Oreochromis niloticus: one gene and its partner. The protein of the gene in region 1 interacts with the protein of each later gene in a pairwise test. Links are inferred from orthologs where the notes say so. Each region holds a gene or a part of one and is shown on either strand. Other genes may lie near its edges.

The links.
Region 2: the proteins of rab2a (region 1) and tbc1d25 interact in binary tests that used the Homo sapiens proteins (3 or more experiments, as listed by UniProt). The link is inferred for Oreochromis niloticus from reciprocal best matches to the Homo sapiens genes RAB2A and TBC1D25.

What each region holds. Positions count from the first base shown.
Region 1 is NC_031982.2:2,291,480-2,301,096, forward strand, and holds the start of rab2a (ras-related protein Rab-2A), read right to left. Parts: upstream 4,351-9,617; 5' UTR 4,180-4,350; coding exon 4,134-4,179; intron 1-4,133.
Region 2 is NC_031984.2:36,193,399-36,202,979, reverse strand, and holds the start of tbc1d25 (TBC1 domain family member 25), read left to right. Parts: upstream 1-5,843; 5' UTR 5,844-5,999; coding exon 6,000-6,044; intron 6,045-9,581. UniProt on the Homo sapiens protein: Acts as a GTPase-activating protein specific for RAB33B. Involved in the regulation of autophagosome maturation, the process in which autophagosomes fuse with endosomes and lysosomes.

The DNA of each region.
Region 1 (9,617 bases):
ATACATACGCAGGACCATCTTAACAAAAGGTCCATGAATGAAGGGTTTGCTCATTTTAGCCAAAGACTGGATATTATTGCATAGAAAATCCCAATGAACTATAGCTGTGCATATTGAAATCTTACTGTGCTTTTCATAATGAAAACTGCTGTGTCACAATGAACCTCAAAATTCTCTGAATGGGGTCAAACGCTCTAAAATTTGAAAAGCTGGAGATCTACAGGCAGTGTTCAGTGGGACAGAACCTATTTTTGGACATTCAATCTGTACTGAAGCTATAATTTCTGTTCAGATGCAGTTTGTCTTCTGCCAGCTATATCTGAGGACAGCCTGGCCATGGGTCAGAGAGACAGTCAACACTGAATTAACTTTTTTTCTGTCTCAGAATAGTCAATCCAATTGATCATTATTTGCCCGTGCAAGTGCCTGTTACTCCTTTAAGTCATAAAGCAAAGCATCTCCTCAAACACTCCACGAAGAGTTGAGAGAAAATAAGAGGAGAGAGAGGTGATGACACCTGGAATGATATACGGTAAGTTTTGACAAATGTCACATTTCAGAAAGCATCAGCAACACAGCAAGGATGCAGGCCAGGGCCTGTGCAACAATGGGTAGAGGCCAAATTAAAATGACAAGTTAGATAAAGGTCAAGAAAATTAAGAGCAGGCCACGAATCTACACCTAAGGTGAACAACTACCGAAACACACTACATGCCAAAAAAGGTAGGATGCCACTGGACAAAGTGACTTGTGTCTGTGTGTTTTTTTTCTCCTAGAAAGTCATACACTGCAGCTGTATTTCTGTATTAATTATAGTTAATATTTTAAAAGAAAAACCTCTGTGAGAAACTAGTTGATTTATTGAGTTCAACCAAAAAAAAAAGAGAAAAAGTCAGCTCTGAATACATGTCTGGCAGGTGGGGTTAAGAACACCAGCTGTATGAGTATTAGCTGCGAGTGTTTCCTCTGACTAAAATGATGTCTACGCATCACACCTTAAAAACCCAACTAAAACTCACTGACTGGAAATACATCTTCCTCATTCTTCATGTGTAGATGAATGATTACACACTGCACTAAAAGACTGCCAATCTTACTGGTACTGACCATCTTACTAAGCACACCTGGAAGATGGAAGCCTTAATGATTACTTTTCACAATAAAAGCCTCACTGAACATTGATTAACCTGGAGATCGGAGGTTTTTCTGGTGTTTAAACTTGTGGATTTGCTTTGGCTCAGCAGAGCAGTTACAAGGTAACAAGACGACACACCCAAGTTAAACTTGTCCAACTACTACTCCATGACTGGCTTTAGATTTTGATAACATGTAGCTGTACAGACCAGGAACCATCATATCTACTTTAGGGTGAAGATAAGACCAAGACAAGATGTGTTATATTCTAGGGAATAAAACATAGAAGAAACAAATAATTATAAAATAAAATTATTAAATACAGTCATACAAATGTGTAAAAACTGACATTTTAACTGACCGCCTAATGAAAATACAAAAAACGATCACAGTCAAAGATGCTCAAACAAACACTTTGTACCAACTGTGTGGTACACGGTAGTGTTTTAGACATTTTAAACAATCATAAAAAAGAAAAGAGAAGAGTTCTTCCAGAAGATGTCCCTTTCTCTTTCAGACACATTGTTCACATACAAAGGCAGGCAAATTGCCCCACACTTTGTCCACAAAGTTGCCACAAGCCAAGCTGATGTTGTCTAACTAGTTAGTTAAGTAGTTAGGTGGTGGCAAAAATGAGCAAGTTCTACTCATACCAGTGATTCACCCACTGAATTACATGCCTTGCAGACCTATGCACTGGGCTTTTTTTTGTTTTTTTGCCCAAGCTATAGCCTGGTATTAGCATTGTTTACGATAAAATATAGCTCTAGAAATTTTCAATTTTAACAAGGGAATAAAGAACCAGACAAATCTTATCATTTCATACTGTTATACCTGTTCAGCTAACATCTATTGACTTATGTTCACTAATAAAGGTGGGCTGAATCATTTATTCCTGTATTGACTAAATATGATTGGGTGCCATCCTGCTGGTATGCTGGTAAGCAAGAGATAAACTCCCCACTGTCTCCTTCCCCTCTCTTCCTGCATGTAGAGCAACTCGTAAGCAGCTTCGCTGTTCCCAGCCACCGCTAAGTAATTAGCAATAAGCACTGTAGCATATGAACAGTGCTACATACATTGTTTGCAAGATTAAATCCCTTCTACCCAACCCACCTTAGTTTAAGATGATCCGATCAGTCTGACTTGCATCATAGTATGATCACAACATTGCAGGCTAGTTTCTTACTTAAAATGACCTGGCTCCTATACATAAGTGTAACTGCTGACCTCTTTGTTGACAGAAATCACATGATCTAGTATAAGTAAACATCATGACTCCTGCACCTTTGAGTCTCATCATTGACAATGCTGGAAAAATATATTTTACCCAAGCAAACGCTGGATAGGCTTTTGCTTCTGAGAATCACGCTTGATGTATCTCTCAGCCCCAGATGAACTGAGCCAGACAGAACACAGCCAGATATAGTGGGATTATGTAAAGTTGTATTAAAATGACATATTATATGCAGAAAATTATGTTTTTACAGTTATTTACTGTTGTATACAGTTACTACTACTGTCCCTAAACCTTTTTAGAAGCCTTTCTACTGATCACAACAACAAATCAGTGAGCCAATTAGATTTTCAGCTGGCAGACTAATGTTAGGTTTCTTTCCAGGGATTTCTGAAAGTGATCCCAAACACCCCACACTAAATTTGTAATGTCATATGATGAGAAGATGATAGCTATGGAACATTTGGCCCAGCCGTTTTTTTGACACTAATATTAATTACATGTTATGTCCTGGACACCAGATATTTTACTTAAAAAATAAATACAATTTCTCCCTAGAAATATGCTTGAAGAAAAAAAAAAACGAGGCTAGCACTGCAATGCCCGCGTGTGTGCTGAAAAAAGCCTCGTGAGGTAAAAGTAAGTGGCGCACAGATGGAGTATTTCTGGTCTAGACATCTGTGTAATCAAGCTGGGACCTTTTCAACACTCACTACTGAAGATAAACAACATACTTGCACGAAATCATAACAGCAGCAGGCAGAACGTGACCCTGCTTGGCAATAACAGTGTAGTAAACATGAAGCCCACTACAGTGTACATCATCTAAGACAAAACTACATATCCTCACAATGGGAGTGTTTCCCCAATATCTATTTACTCTGAAAATTTTCTAGCTGCTTCTTGCTATCGCTGGCAGTTTATCTTACTAAAGCTCTCGTTGTACCTCACAGCTGTAAGACCTGCCTGCTTTTCTAAAACTGGTGCTATAACAGTATAATATAACGGTATAATATAGAAATGTACCTGGAACCACACAGCGGTAGCCCTCATCAGTACAGCCTGCTAACAGTAAACAGATGACAACACTGCCGGCTAATTGAGTGGTTTCCAGCACAAGATATACAAAACTACATTTTGGTAAATGAAGCGCAAAACATGAAACCGTGCAACGACTCCAAATCGCGAGGATATATGTAGCCAGAAATTAGATCTGGTCTACGCCATTTCAGGGAATATTAGAGGTGCAGCTTGGCGTCTTGGCCTTCTCTGACAAGAAGCTAGGCTAATGTTTAGTAATTATAAGACATGTACAATAACAGAAATTGGTAGTGTGGTTGTCTGTCGTATGTAGCTGCAGTCAGTGAAGCGTTATTTGGATGTCGTGACAGCCGGTTGCTAAATATTTGGTGGAAAAGCTAATGCTACTTAGCTGGGCTGGCAAGCTGTGGCTAACACCCCCACCCTCGACGCAAAGGGACAAAAGGCCCAAACATTTATCAGCCGCTATCAACCTTGACACAAGCTACTCCAAGGCAGCTTGTGTCAAGATTCCTGTGTGGATTTTTAACACTGCCAGGGGTCGCTTATTGTTATCTAAATATGTTAACAGAGAAGGATTGGAGCTGTCATCCCACCCCTTCTGTCTCTGCTTTTACCACGTCATTGAACTATCCAACACTGCGGAAATACGCCGCTAGCTAGCGGCTAAGAGCTAGGTAAATGCTAACTGGCAGTCTAGCTGCCACTTGCTGTAACTTACCCGTGTCTCCGATGATGATGTATTTGAAGAGGTACGCATACGCCATGACCCCTGGTTTGTGCAGTTAGCTGTCTAGCCCGTTACACCTTCGTAAAATCGACCGTTAACCGTGTAAAGAAAGTGGCTGACAGACTGTTAGCCCGTTTCTCTCTGTCCGTGCTGAGGAAGGAACAATAAACAGCCAGAGCCTCGGCTCGACGTCACACGGTCCGCCCTCGCCACGCTACACAATGAGATCTTCAGGGTCTGCTCGGAAATTTACGATGCATTTCACTACTTCCACTCTTAGTGGAAATGATGGGGGGAAAAAAATCACCTTTCTTCTAAAAAAAAAGTCAGGAGGTATTAGATTCACTTCACTTTGTTGTTAAATAAATAAAAAATGAAATAAAAAGGGAGCAGAGATCACTGCTACCACTTTCACAACATATACAACAAATTCAAGAATAAAAAAGGTAAATGAAACCACACCGTGAAGCGGTATGCATAATACCATAAACAGTACCACATAGCAATGGCGATTCTAGGCTCAAACCTTTAGGGGGGGTCAGCTCCCAATCATAATGTCATGCATGCAGTGCAGTGTAATTAGTATTAATGGAATATGTTTTTTGCAAAAAATATAATAAACCCCTTTTACAGTTGCAAACCTCAATTCAATTGGATAAACATTACAATGTTACCTTCAAAAGCAGCCTAATAGTTGGATGATCAATTGTAGTGTCAAAGAATAAGTCAGAGTGAGTAATCAGAGATTTCAATCTAATACACCATTTTAGTGTGGAGCATTTAGTTATTAAACTCAAGCCAAAGGCTCAGTCATTAAAGAAGTTACTGAATTATTTGTGGCAAAGCAGATAAGATGAGAAACATGCACAACACTATTCCAGTCTCTCAATCACACAGAGGCAGTCCACCAAATCATCAAGCACTTAAAGTGGCATTAATCAGTACAGACAGTAGAAAATCATCCTGCCACTCTATAGTGGCAGGACACAAAGCAAACTGTAGTAGAGCTGTTTTATATTAAAGCTTTTAAATCCTGCAAAATGCTACAATTCATATCAATATGTCCTGTTCAGAATTTCCATTGGCATTTTTAAGTGTGCTACTGGAAAGCATGCAAAGCATCCACAAAATACATGAAAAACTACTTTATGAAAAATAACTTTTGTTTTTTCCAGCTAACTTCACTGTGTGCTCCCTCAATCTTCCTGTTCTTCTACAACCTCTCTGTCCTCTCTCTCTCTCCATCCTCTTCACTCAGCTAGAAGCTAGAAAATGACAACAAATATAATCTCATAATAGTTATTATAGAACAGTAATAAGTATAAGAGGGGTATCCACAACTGACAACAGGACAGCAGACTGCTTACATACGCAAACTCATCATCAATGAATGTGGGAAACCTACAGCTTCATCATTTTTGGTGAATTTGACTACATTTCCACTCTTACCAGTTTCTTTTTGCTCTCTTTGCTGTCTTCATCCTGTTCTCTCTCTTTCTCTCCCTCTCTGTCCTCTCTCAGTCTTAAAACTTAAATGTTACAGTGAATAAAAGGCATAAACTGATCCATATCAGTTTATAGCAATATTCAAACTGAATACAGGCTGCAGCTGGACATAGACAGGTTAGACATAGACACATTATTTTGGCTTGCTGTCACTTGGATTTGGAGCTGTAGTGTAAACAAACACTGAAGCCAAATTGCTTGAGCAGCCCAAAAAACAGTTTTAACTCACCTATGCCCCATAGTGAATGCCTTTCAAGTTTCAAGTGAGACCATGCTTCATCAGCTTTTTTTTTTGTTTCAAAAAGACATATATATGAATTTACAGACTTCCCAAGGTCCATGTCAGCTGAAGGGACAGGGTAACCTGGGCCTGGACCCCTGGGAGCCATTCATCACACAAGCATTGACTTGGGATGACAACTTTTGGCAATAAGATGTGGACAGCCACTTTGGGGCCCACAGTGGTTGAAATGTTATGAGGCCACGATTGTGTTTTGATGCTCTAACAGTCTCCTGCTGGCAGGTCAGCAGTCACGGCCTGGATCCAACCTCCACCACTTCTAACGTCCTCTGTTCCTCCTCCGGGTTTCTTAGTTCTCCTCTGTCCACTGTGGGACTTCATATATTATGATGAGCCACATCTACCTGGGGAGCAGGCCATATTGGTACAGTCATGCCTTAAGCCTCCCCAGTAGTCAGATTTATTCGTGTCCTTCAGCGGTCCCTCTGCTTGTGGTGCTTCTTGTGTTGTGGACGTTGTTTCTGTCGCTTGGTGAATTGTCATACCACTTTCTCAGATTGCACTTGTCAGCGATATTAACCTAGAACCTAGAACCCATTTTGCCTGCATGTTGGAAGATGTCGTGACTGTAAGGTATGAAGCCCCTTATTGCCAGTTGTCTTACGTTTTCCACTGCTCCAATGATAGTGACGTCACGATGAAGTTAATGCTCATAGCAAACAGGAATGGTGACGATCTCTTTCTGTAGGTAGTCTTTGGCCTTGAAGCGGTGCTTGAACCCTCTCAGGTAACTGCTGATTATTACCTTGATGTGGTCTGGGATGTGATAGTGCTTCAGTGCTGTTCTGAGAAGATTGTGAGGAATTAGCCGAGTCCAGCCAGACTGCTGTCAGATTTCTTTGACCTGGCTTTCACGTATAATCTTGCTCAGGACCAGGGCCATTTTTTTTTTTTTTGCCATTTATCTGGGTTTGGGTCATTGAGGCAGCAGACTAAGAAAAGATGCTCAGACCCACTTCTTACCTGGCTATAGCCTCTAGGTTATCCAGCAGAAATGTTTTTGACCAATGCTTTCCCAAGGCAAGTAAGAGTCATCATCTCTCCAGCATGTTCTCTCCCAGTTACACATGCAGGATCCATCCTCATCAGGTGTTCTCTCTGAGTCGTCCTAGATGAACAAGCTCCTCACCTGTCTCTATGTCCCTGAAGTCAACTTGGGCAGCTGGGGATGTGACTGCCAAAGCCACTGACTCTTACTTGATCTACAAAGCACCAGACCCTTATAGCTCCCTCTGCCTCCACAGGAGGGTGGACTCATGAGTCTTGTTCTGGGTCCAGGCCCAGTGGGCTAAGGCTCGGCCACTCAGTGCTCATTTGAATGACACTTAATCTGAAGACCATTTTGCTTTGGGAGGCCCACCAGAAAAAGTTTCTCTCGACAACACAGGTCTTAGGAACATGGTGATGGATGGAGGGGTTATTACAGTAAATCAGTGCAAAATATTAGACCATAAAAAAAATAAATCTAAAGAAAGCAAAACAACATAAATCTGGGCAGACAGAATTATCAGCAAGTTCAGAAAACCAGCCCGAAAGGCCTGGAAATAATATGACATCTGTGAGTAAGTTTAAAAAAAAAACCCCAAACAAACCCAAAACATCCATTTGTAAGAAAACCATTCACTTCTCCATTACTCCTTGAGTAGTTTTACAACGCTTTAACATCAATTTAAATGGGATTTTTCTGATTTAACATTATCTTGAAATAAAGTGTTATCTCTTTTTAATTCAAATGTGATTTTTTCACATTTTTAAAAGGAACAGCTGGAAAATAAAATGCATCATCTTAGGCAGCTATTCTTTCAATAAATTAAAAAAGCTACAATTTTCCACAAAATAGACCCAGCCTTATTTCAATCGCAGACTCTCAAAATTGCGCACTATTCTGATGATATTCTGATGTTATGTTTTAGGACATTCATTTTCTGGATAGACCTGTCTATATCTACTTGTAATCCCAAAATGTAACAATTTATGTTCCGAGTTACTTTTGCCCTCATGACATTTTGTATGTCGTCACAGTGAGACACAGAAAATAAATTTGACTTAAACAAAAAAGTAATGACACACAATGAAAACAATGTTGCCTTTGATTCCAGCCCACATCTAAGTTCCAAGCTCAACAGACAGCTGTGTTTACAGCATGTATTCAAGAGTTAAACCAACCGGTTACAGGTGGACATTTTAAAAGCAGTGATGTAACCTAGTCCTTGAACTTTAAATGGATCATTGTATTGTAGAAAACAAATTTTCAACCATGTAAAAACCTGAAAGGAAACTCTGTGGCCATTATTCACTGCACAGAAGAGCAGTGGCTCTTTGCAGTGCCTTAAACCTGGATTCTTTTTAGCACAGGGCCAGCAGAGGGCGACTCCTCTAATTGTAGATAAGTGTAAGGAAAATGCCTTTCAGTTTTTTTGATCTGTAACTTCAGTTATACTTAAGATTGTAAGTTAAGCTTTATTAAATAGAACGCAGTGCTGATTTCAGATATTATTATACCCCCAGTCAGAGTCAAAAAGAAACATAGAATAGGGAATGACATAGGACCTACCTTCAGTTCTAGCCAGTAAGCTTGCAATATCAGTCCTGACATGCAGGGGTGGATCTAGAGAAATATTCCTAGGATGGCGTGAGGGTGACAGGGAAATCACATGGGGTGGCAAAATCAATGTGCAGGTGTTACATTCTGTAATATTTATTATATATGCTTAAAATACACCAAATGCAGTAAGTATACACCTGTTTCCTATAAACATGGTCAGTAACCTTCTTATTGGCTTTAGGCCAAATAATAAAACATTTCCGTTACATAAAAAATGTGCATTTTGATTTTATATATAGGCTACTGTGTAGCCTATATATTAAATAAACATGTAGCTCAATAAGTATAAAATCCAGAATACTACACAACATGAGGTGGATCAGTTGGAAATACAATTTTTCTAATTTAAGTTTCACATTCTTGTGTTAGAAATAATCAAACTGTTACATGCTTACAAAATGTCAGGAATCTGCACTGTCATGACCAAGTTTTTCACCAAAAATTTGAAGTGATTTTTTTTATGATTTATGGGGTTATGATGCTCACCTTCATTCAGTTTCCAGAGTGTAACAATCAACCACCTGTGTTGAAATCTGAAATGCCCATGATGGTGATTCAAAATATGCTCTGGCACAATCACAGATATCAGTTGCTACTGACAACAAGAAATACATTTTTAATTTTTTGAATCTATATTGAATTTTAACTAGCTAGGCTCAAAGTGTTAATGCTAGCTTATTTTAATAAAAAAACAAAACAAACATTGTCATATGTCAGAGGATTTGCTTTTTTTTTTATTCAGCTATGATGACACTCGCAAAATTGAGAAAAGAAAAAGAAAAAAGATCCAAGGCTCTCTATCTTCTTTACTGTGAGGGTAAATATAACACAATACCACTTGATGGCAGCAAGCAAACAGGTAAATGCAAAGCATGAAAAGAATTTTCCAAAGAGCTAATTAAATACTCATTATTGACATGCTGAGCTGTAGTGACTAATTGTTTCTTACAGAGCAAGGTAATCTGACTAAATGTGACGTGTTTGATGGCAGAAAGCAACAGGAGGAAATCACTCTGGACAGGAGAAGACATCTGCATTGGTAAAGAACATACACTAAAGAAGT
Region 2 (9,581 bases), on another chromosome or scaffold:
ACAATACAAAGAATCGTAAGACACACCCAGACACAGTCAATATTTTCGAATTTGCTCATTTATTTACACATGCTTTTCCATGGCACGAGTCTGTGAAATGACATTCACTACCCATGTGTATGCTTTGCACACTTTGTTTCTCCTTCGCACAGCATGTCCTGCTTGCGCTGTCACACTCCCACTCTCCTCTTCCACAGACCAGCTTCTGACACTGCTTTTTAGCGTCGTCATAAGGTGCTCTGCCACCTACCCTCTTACCAGATACTAAAAATAAGGGAGGCATGATTAGAAAGATGGGCACCCCAGCTACTGCCCAATCTCACTCATAAATGTAGACATTATAATGCTTTGCAAAGCCCTTGCAAGAAGATTCGAAAAACTCCCTCCATTCATAAATACATGCTGATCAAACAGGTTTTATCAAGGCAGACACTCAGCCAATAATACACAGAGACTAATTAATGTAATAGATTATTGCTTTGATTCATTCTTGATAAATTGGATGAAAACACTATACAGCTCTCCAAATGCATCCGTTAGGCCAAATTATGTTACATCCCAGAGCTTTCTAAATCTAAAGAGGGGCACCAGACAGAGCTGCCCCATTGCTTTTTATTCATTTTCATCGAACCACTAGCAGCAGCACAATGTAGATATTAAAGGAATTCAAACTGAAAATACAGACCATAAGATAAGGCTATATGCTGCTGATGTATTGCTTTTCCTTCTGAAGACAATAACATTCATAGATAAGTTCTCATCCATATCAGACTACTCGATTAACTGGAGTAAATCAACAGTTCTAACTCTGAACTGCAAATTTCAGAACACCTCCACCAGTCCACTACAATTACGTAATATTAGATATTTAGGTATAGATTTTCCGACCAAGCTCTCACACTTGGTACAATTAAATCATATTCTGCCACTAAAAATAAAGAAGAAGAAGAAGATCCCACACATTGGAATACTTTACCTATATCACTCATGGGAAGAGTCGCACCACTTAAAATGATGGTTCTGTTTCAAATAGACAACTGGTTCTCGGTGATCTCTAATAAAGTCTTTACTGCCTGGTTTAAGTCACTAGACTCAAACGTCTTGAAATGTCTGTGGAAAAATAAACCATCACGTATAAGTTGGGTTTTTTTTGGCTTTAATAGAGTTTTCAATGGTGGTCTACAACTACCAAAATTGTATTACTCCTTCTTGACCAATAGATTGCTATATCTTTCAAAATGGATCAAATCAAGCTCTCCTGTGGCTGGAAGAAGCATTGTGTGGGAAAGTAAAAATCTCTAGTCTGCCTTTCATAAGCTTAGAAAGCATTAAGCATCATAACTGCTTTAAAAGCCTTAACATAAACACCTCTCTGAAAGCCTGGTGGGAATTTTTAAAAATAGCTCATTCTTAACTTATCCCATGTAAACTAACATCCATTTAACAATCCAGATATCTGCCAGAGACTTGCTGGTCTGGGCTTTGAAAGCTCTGAGGAGGGGAGGTCCATGGGGGTTTCCAGACTGTCTGGGGTGTAATAGCAGGCAAGCAGACAAGGAGGCGAAACAGATGTCCAGGTGAGTCCAAACTGTGAGAAACAACAACCTCTAAACTCAAGGAGAACAAGGTTACACAGGGAAAAGCAGGTAGAGGAGGTCTACAAGTGCTTGCTATGTGGTCTTGTGTACCTGTCCAGAGGTTTTGGCAGAGGTTATGTGAAGACTATCCACATGGTTTAATTGCTGTATCCCACCCTCATTGAAGCTGAGCATCTTGGCTGACGTAAGTGAATTAGATATGGAAACAAAAACATCACATATAGTCCTTACTGCCCTATGCATTGCTAAGAAAACTATCCTCATAACTGCAAATGAAAAAAACAGTTTGTGTATTACTCAATGCAGAACTTTACTTCTAGATCACATTAGTTTGGAAAAAAATGTCTGTCTCCTCGAAAAAACGAACAAACAAAAAAACTATTGAATGAATTTATTTCTTATTGGTCTGCACTGATCAATTCCTTTACCTAGTTGGGGGTGGTCAGCTATAGTCACATTTCCCTGTGTGGCTTGCAGGTGGCTGGGGGTGGACTCTGGGTCTAAGGAAGTCTGGCAGTTTTCTGGGGTCTTAAAAGCTGCAGCTGCTGTTTTGTGGCACACGTATGTCTGCTTTGGTCGGTGGTGGTGGGTGGCTGTGGGGAGTGCTGCCTTGTGGTCTTGGGATGTGGGGCCTGGGGTGGTGGGTGGCTGGTCTCCCTTGCACAGATCTGGGTGCAGGGCCCAGGATGGACCAGTAGTTGAGTGGGTGGTGTCACAACAGGACCCACACACAGATTCAATCACAGACATCAAGTTCTCACACAAGCTTTAGTGCAAAACATAAAACTATACAATAAAAAGCTATTCTATTCTATTCTAAACAATTGCACAAGGAGAGATTGCTTAATGTGCTGGGAGGAGAAGGCTAGGGAGAATCTTGTGTCTTACTTGGCAGGAGGAGCAGAAGAAGCTCCTGGGGGAAGTAATATTGACCAGGTGAGTGTCCAGAGAGATGGGAGTGTGAAGTGAATCCAAATTGGTTTGTACAGTGATCCAGAGCAGTGGAAGGCAGGCAGGCAGGCAGGCAGGCGGTGAAGCATGATCCAGAAAACCTGAAGCGGCTTGAGGATTTCCAAAATGGTGAACAGCATCCGGGTAGAAATGCAAACTGCACACAATGTGAGAACGAGGTAAGTTAATTATAGATGTGACATGTGAAGCAAAGGTGGCCTGTTACTAACACGGGTTAGATAACAAACTGGCGAGGAACAGATGTGGACACTGGTCTTAAATAATAATAATAAAAATAATAATGGATTGGATTTCATATAGCGCTTTTCAAGGCACCCAAAGTGCTTTACAATGCCACTATTCATTCACTCTCACATTCACACACTGGTGGAGGCAAGCTACTGTTGTAACCACAGCTTGCCTGTTGATAGTCCTGGATCAATGACAGGTGAGCATAACAGCCACGGTGCAGAGGAAAGCACAGTGTTCAATACCGTCGACCATAATATCCTATTAGAGCGATTAGAACATGCTGTAGGTACTACAGGTGCTGCGCTGCAGTGGTTTGTATCATATCTATCTAATAGACTCCAGTTTGTTCATGTAAATGGAGAGTCCTCTTCACACACTGAGGTTAATTATGGTGTTCCACAGGGTTCAGTGCTAGGACCAATGCTGTTAACATGATACTGCCTAAGGGAAGCATGTATGTTCAGATTATTATACATGCTTCCCATTAATGGCCTCATAGTACCATATCACCCTATTAGAGCCCTTCGCTCTCACACTGCAGGCTTCTGTTAATTTGTGCATTTTACTCTGTGAGAGGAAGTTCACACTCACTTCCTGTATTTATAGCTTCCTGTTTATTGGTGACTTCACAGAAAGGGACAAGGTGAAGAGAGGGAAGAAAACTGTCCATTTTAGGGTTTTGTTTGCTTTAGTGTTGAATGTATTATTGTAAAATGTAATGGCTACAGTTTAGAAGTGTGTGTTTTGTTGCTGGTGAAAAGTAAGTAAGAGGATGATTATAATATTTAGTCTCATGTATGTGTCTTACCTGGATGACTGTATTCTATTTGTATGGAATAGCCCATTGGAGGCAATTTTGTTTGTATAGCTTGAGAGTATTTAAACAAAAGAATTTAGTTGTTCAAGAGAAGAGGACTAGGTCAGTGTGCATATGAGATTCATTTTGGTTGGTTTAAGTTTCGTTATGTTTATTTGTCCAAGTCAGCTTTTGAGTTATTGATTTTTGTAAATATTTTTTGTCACGATGTTTGTAAATAAATCACCTGCTACATTGGTCAGCATCTGTTTCCTGTGCTGCTTCAGCCACTTTGGCCAAGCCATCTCAGTCATTTTGCAGAATTTGATTTCCTGCTCTTTTAGTTGTTTCAGCTGTTGTTGGGGGTTGTACAAAAATGTTTTCATGAGCTTTTAACTGAGATTCTGAGTTTTCTAAAGCTACGACTGATGTCTGTATTTAAATAGACTTTGCATCACATTGTACTAAACCTGTTCCCATGGGCAAGAGGGGCTTAAGAAGTTAATAAATTGTATTTGGGGAACTCCGGACTGAAGTTTCCCTGGGTCAAATCACCAAGAACAATGACTAAGGAGTCCCTGTTTGTCTGCTCCACACAGCATTTGCTGAGCAAGCAAGCACTGGGCTTGACATGGCATGTACACACAGACTAGAATAAATTAATACAACTCATGTGAGGAGTTTGCAGTGAATGAAAAAAATATTCCAGATGACTGTCACCAAAGCGCTTACTAATAGGGGGTCTGTGAAAAGATTTTGTTTATTATTCAAATATGCTTTGCTTGTAACTGTGTAAAACTCTGAATGATATGCTTTGCTTGTGATTGTGTAAACTCTGAATGACGATTCACCCTGATAAACATGAAGCCTTGCCTATGCTTATCATATGCCGGTGAAGACAAGTTCCTGTGAAGAGGAACGGAAAGTTCCACTTAAGCAGATGTTTAGTATAGTATGAACAGAACATTTTAGCAAGATATGCATTTGTCTGTTAAGCAATCTATATTCTTTAGCAAGATATGCATTTGCAATCTATATTCTGAGAACAGGCGGAGACTGCCTCCGCCCTGTTGAGTAACCTACATGCCTATATAACCTGCAATAAAGAAGTGTACTGGTGTGACTCTCATTAGAGACGTTCACCCATGTACATGTGATTGATTATATTGTCTCACTGTGTCTCTGTTTTACTTTGGCAGCCTTCTATTTGGGAGATTTCCCCCAACAGGGTCATATGATTGTTGGGTTCTCTGTTGTATTACTGTAGGGTCTGCCTTACAACATAAAGCACCTTTTGGCGACTGTTGTTGTGATTTGGTGCTGTATAAATAAAAATGAAACTGAACTGAAAGCAGTGTTTCTGAATAAAATGAGCATCTTCCTCAGTGTTATTCAGTCCCATCTTTGTCGAGTCCTCCAGCAGCTCCTAGAAAACAAGTTAGATGTGTAAAGGTAGGATGTGTCAGTTTCATGCTGACAATGTTTCCGTCCTTGGCTACATCACTGAAAAGGGTCAAATCAGAGCCAACCCAGCTCAGGTCCAAGCGGTTCTGGATTGGCCAGAGCTAACCACTTGAAAACATCTTCAGCAATGCCTCGGCTTCTCTATGTCTTTTATGTTGCTTCAGTTGTCCAGTCTCAGAATATACATGTCAATATTCACCTGTCATCCAGCCAAAGTTCAAGTTCATGTTTATTGTCATATGTCATATACAGACAACATTGTAGCAACATTTACCCATAATGTGAATCCTTAGACCCGTGTTCCCCAACTTTACATGAACATATAGAAACTATACAGGTATATTAAAGAAAAGAAAGTAATAATAATAATAATAATAATAATAATAATAATGATAAAAGTCTCAGAGACGTCTGAGTGAATGTCTGCCTGTGCCACCTGTCTTCAAAACAAAACTTCTGCCACTCTCCCAGTTGGTCTTCTGCATCATACCTGGAATTGCCACTGGTCCCACATTGCACTGGATTTCGTTACCTGACTGCCTCCATCTGCAGGTAACATTGTCGTTCTCACAACTGACTGTTTTTCACACGCTGTATACTTCATTACTCTCCCCAAGTTCCTCTCTGGCCATAAAACCAACCACATCGCTTTACTTAGAAATAACTGAGGAGGTAAAAGGTATCAGGCAATATTTAATTATCTTAGACAAACGCATTTGTATGATATTCTGGTCCATACTCCATACCAGTTGGTGGCGGTAATGCACCAATTCGTTGTTTGTCAACAGCCAATAAACACAAGGAAGAAAAAAAGAAGCAGAATATCGTCAAGCATAGGAACTCGGCTAGTGCCACTTCCATCATGTCAGGATAGAAAAGCAAACAAACAGCAGACAAAGCTCGGTAGAACCATCCTTTTCCGAAACGGAGTCTTTACGATGGAAGGCGAGGAGGAGAGGGGTGTTGTTCGTGTCAAAGTCAAGGTAGGAGAATGATGGTTTCTTTGACTTCCAAATAGGCTGCCAAAGACTGCTAGCAGCGAGCAATCATATTATCGCATATGTTAAATTGGCTGTTTGGACAGACATGCTCCCGCGTTAATGTTAAACGTCGAAAATATGCACTCCGTAAACAGGATGTTTAGCAGTGTGCCATAACAGAGGGGGCCTCATCGCTGCTATTTATTTGGGTTTTTTCGGTAGCATTGCTTCTTCTCGATGCCGATCAGTCATTGTCCCTGTCAGTTTATACTGAGTAAACCTGTAAGATACACCTGACACGGTTATCGGTCATAACACGTTGACAATATCCAATGCAACGCTAAACATCGGGCTGTCACAGAGGTGAGCTGACGTCACTTGCCTGCCCAGAAAATGTGTGCCTGTAGGTATCCCCGGCGGTGTCTGTTTCCCCTGCGTCGGGAGCACGTCCGGTTGACTCCGCCTCCATTACAAACAGCGAGACGTGGAAGTAGTGATGTTTACTTTAGTGAAAAACTGAAAGATGACTGTCGTTACTTTACCGTTCAGTTTGTGGGTTACAAACAGAAAATGATACATTTATTGTTCTCACTTTATGAGATTATTTTAACAAACCGACGGCATTTTGCCCCTTAATTATTTTAATCCTCCTGTAACTTTACTGCATAAAGAGCTAAAACTCCAAAATTTCAGGAGTAGTTGATCATTGGAAGAAGTGTTTGTGAACTAAAAATCAAGAATGATGAATAGGGATCGGTATTGATAAGATTTTTACTATTCCGATTCCATTTTCGATTCTGTTTAATGATTCGGTTCTTTATCGATTCTCTTCTCGATTCTTGCTTTTAAAAAAAGGAGATTACTAAGGTCGATTAGCTTAGAACTTTGTTTTATATCTTCTCTTTAAACAAGATAGAAATTTAGGAGTAACATGGCCTTACAAACCCAACAGTGAGATCTTAAGAGATCCACAGCCTACGGCTCTTCAATGGGGTGTCACAGGGTCCCCAGGAAAAAAAAAATGTAAATGTAAAATAATAAAATAAATATTTTTCTGTAGCAATAACAAAGTATAACATAAATTATTCTGTAGCAATTACACAAGACTATCCAGTAACCTCCCTGCCTACAATTAAACACATTCACTTACCGAAAATCGGGGGCATCTGCTGTGGCAAATGGGTGCAAGCCTTTGACCACAAACTTAGTCACTGCTCGGTGACATTCGTCTATCCTGGCCTGAAAGGAGACGCTAACGGTAGACTGCAGCGAGAACTGCCAGACTCTGTCTCTCTCATCATGGTCGCCTAAATGCACAGTAATGGCAGGTTTTGTAATAAAGCAGATCGCGCTAACATAACATGCACTGTTAGTTGATTATTTACCTGCCGCATTAACGGGAGAGGACGTGCAAACGTTACCGCTGCTGCTGGGTTGAGATTCACGAGTCCGGAGCGGAATTAAAAACACGACATTAATTTAAGGTTATGGCGTGTTTTGTGAGCAAATGCTTTTGCATATTCGTAGTGTTTCCTCCTTTAAATGAAATATCTACTTTGCAAGTATTGCAAGTTGCCCTGTTGTCATCCGTTATAAGTATAACCAAACTTTTTAGCGTTTGAGCCGCGTTTCCTGCCAGGTAAATGACCCTCCGCAACGTGGTGACGTCATTCGGGGCGACTGGAATCGATAAGGGAATCGTTTCCAAGGAATTGAAACAGTGGGAACCGGTTCTCAACAAGAACCGGGTTTTGATACCCATCCCTAATGAGGGAAACTCTTTGTTCGTGATTTGGAAGCAAAGTCTGCCGGGGATGCCTTGGCAGGACAGGTGCACCAGCATTTTTGTTGTGTAATTTATTATCTGCATCAAAGACATAACAGCTTATAATGTTACGAACCTTTTTGCTGTATATTTCACAATACTTAGAAGTTTAGAGGTCATAATATGACAAACTTCATGCAGAGGAAAGAAATGTAATGGCTTTTTGTGACACGTTAATGTTGTCATTAATCAAAAAGAAGTTCATAATACTGTTATAGTTGCATAAATAAAAGTACGGTAGAATGTGTAGAAACTAAAAAGCTATAGGTTCAATATCCGAATGTACATTTGAACAAAATGTATTCAAATATTGAAACAAATAATAATGTTGATTGATATAAAAACCAGAAAAAAAAAATCCCTTCATCCTTCAAGCTCGGGTCTACCAGAGTCTTGGGAGCTTAAGGGTCCTGCGCAGTATCTTTGCTGTTCCTAGTACTGCGCTCTTCTGGACACCACTACTGTATCTGGTTGGTGGGCCATCACCAGTTTATCTGTCTGTAACCGGAAGTCCCACAGAATCTTAACTCGGTCATTCTCAACCACACTGGGAGGAGTGTCCAATTTTGACCTCGGGACCTTCAGGACATAATTGGTGCAGATGTATCTGTATACTATGCCGGCCACTTGGTTATGGTGTTCCATGTATGTTTTGCCTGCTAGCATCTTACACCCTGCAGTTATGTGCTGGATTGTCTCAGGGGCATCTTTACACAGCCTGCACCTGGGGTCTTGCCTGGTGTGGTAGACCCCAGCCTCTATGTGCCTATGTAAATGGTAAATGGACTGGTTCTTATATAGCGCTTTTCTACTCTCACTGAGCACTCAAAGCGCTCATCATACCCATTCACACAAGCACTTTATCTAAGGTTTATCGTGCTTCTACTCGCATTCACACTCCGATGGATGCATCGGAGGGCAACATGGGGTTAATATCTTGCCCAAGGATATTTGGCATGTAGACTACGAACCACCAACCTTCCGGTGAGTAGGACACCCGCTCTACCACCTGAGCTACAGCCACCCATGTGCTGTCACTCCGGCTTTGTCCAGCCACTGGTAGGATTTCCAGCCACTTCGTCTATCTGCCGGTGGTACATACAGGGGCCTTTCTGTCATGATGGTTCTTCTTCTTGGTCCTCTTCTTTCTTGGGCTTCTGCTGCCTAAGCTATTCTCTAAGCACACAGTCAGTTGTGGCCATCTTCCTGCTGTACTCATGGATGCTTGTTGTCTCATCCTGGACTGGTTCTGACACTCACCAGTCCTCTGCCTCATTCCTTCCGCTTAGTGTACAATCTCAAGGTGCTGGATTTGGGTTGAAACTCTCCACGCATTGTAAGGAGATTGATGTAATCTCTCCAGCATGTCCTGGGTCTGCCTCGGTGCCTCCATCTGGTGGGCCATACCCAGAACACCTCACCCAGAAGGTGACGAGGAGGCATCCTAATCAGATACCCAAACCACCTCAACTGGTCGTGGTCCTTTTCCAGCTGAGGACCACAACCTCAGATTTGGAGGTGCTAATTTTCATTCCCGCTGCTTAGCACTTGGCTCCAAACTGCTCTAGTGTAAGCTGGAGGCAACCACCTAGGCCACATCATCTGCAAACAGCAGAGGTGAGTCTCACTGTTTTTCCCATGTGAGCGTTGAAGTTTTCCAGTAGGATGACAGAAACACCAGATGGATCACCCTAAAGCATCCCACACAGTGACCC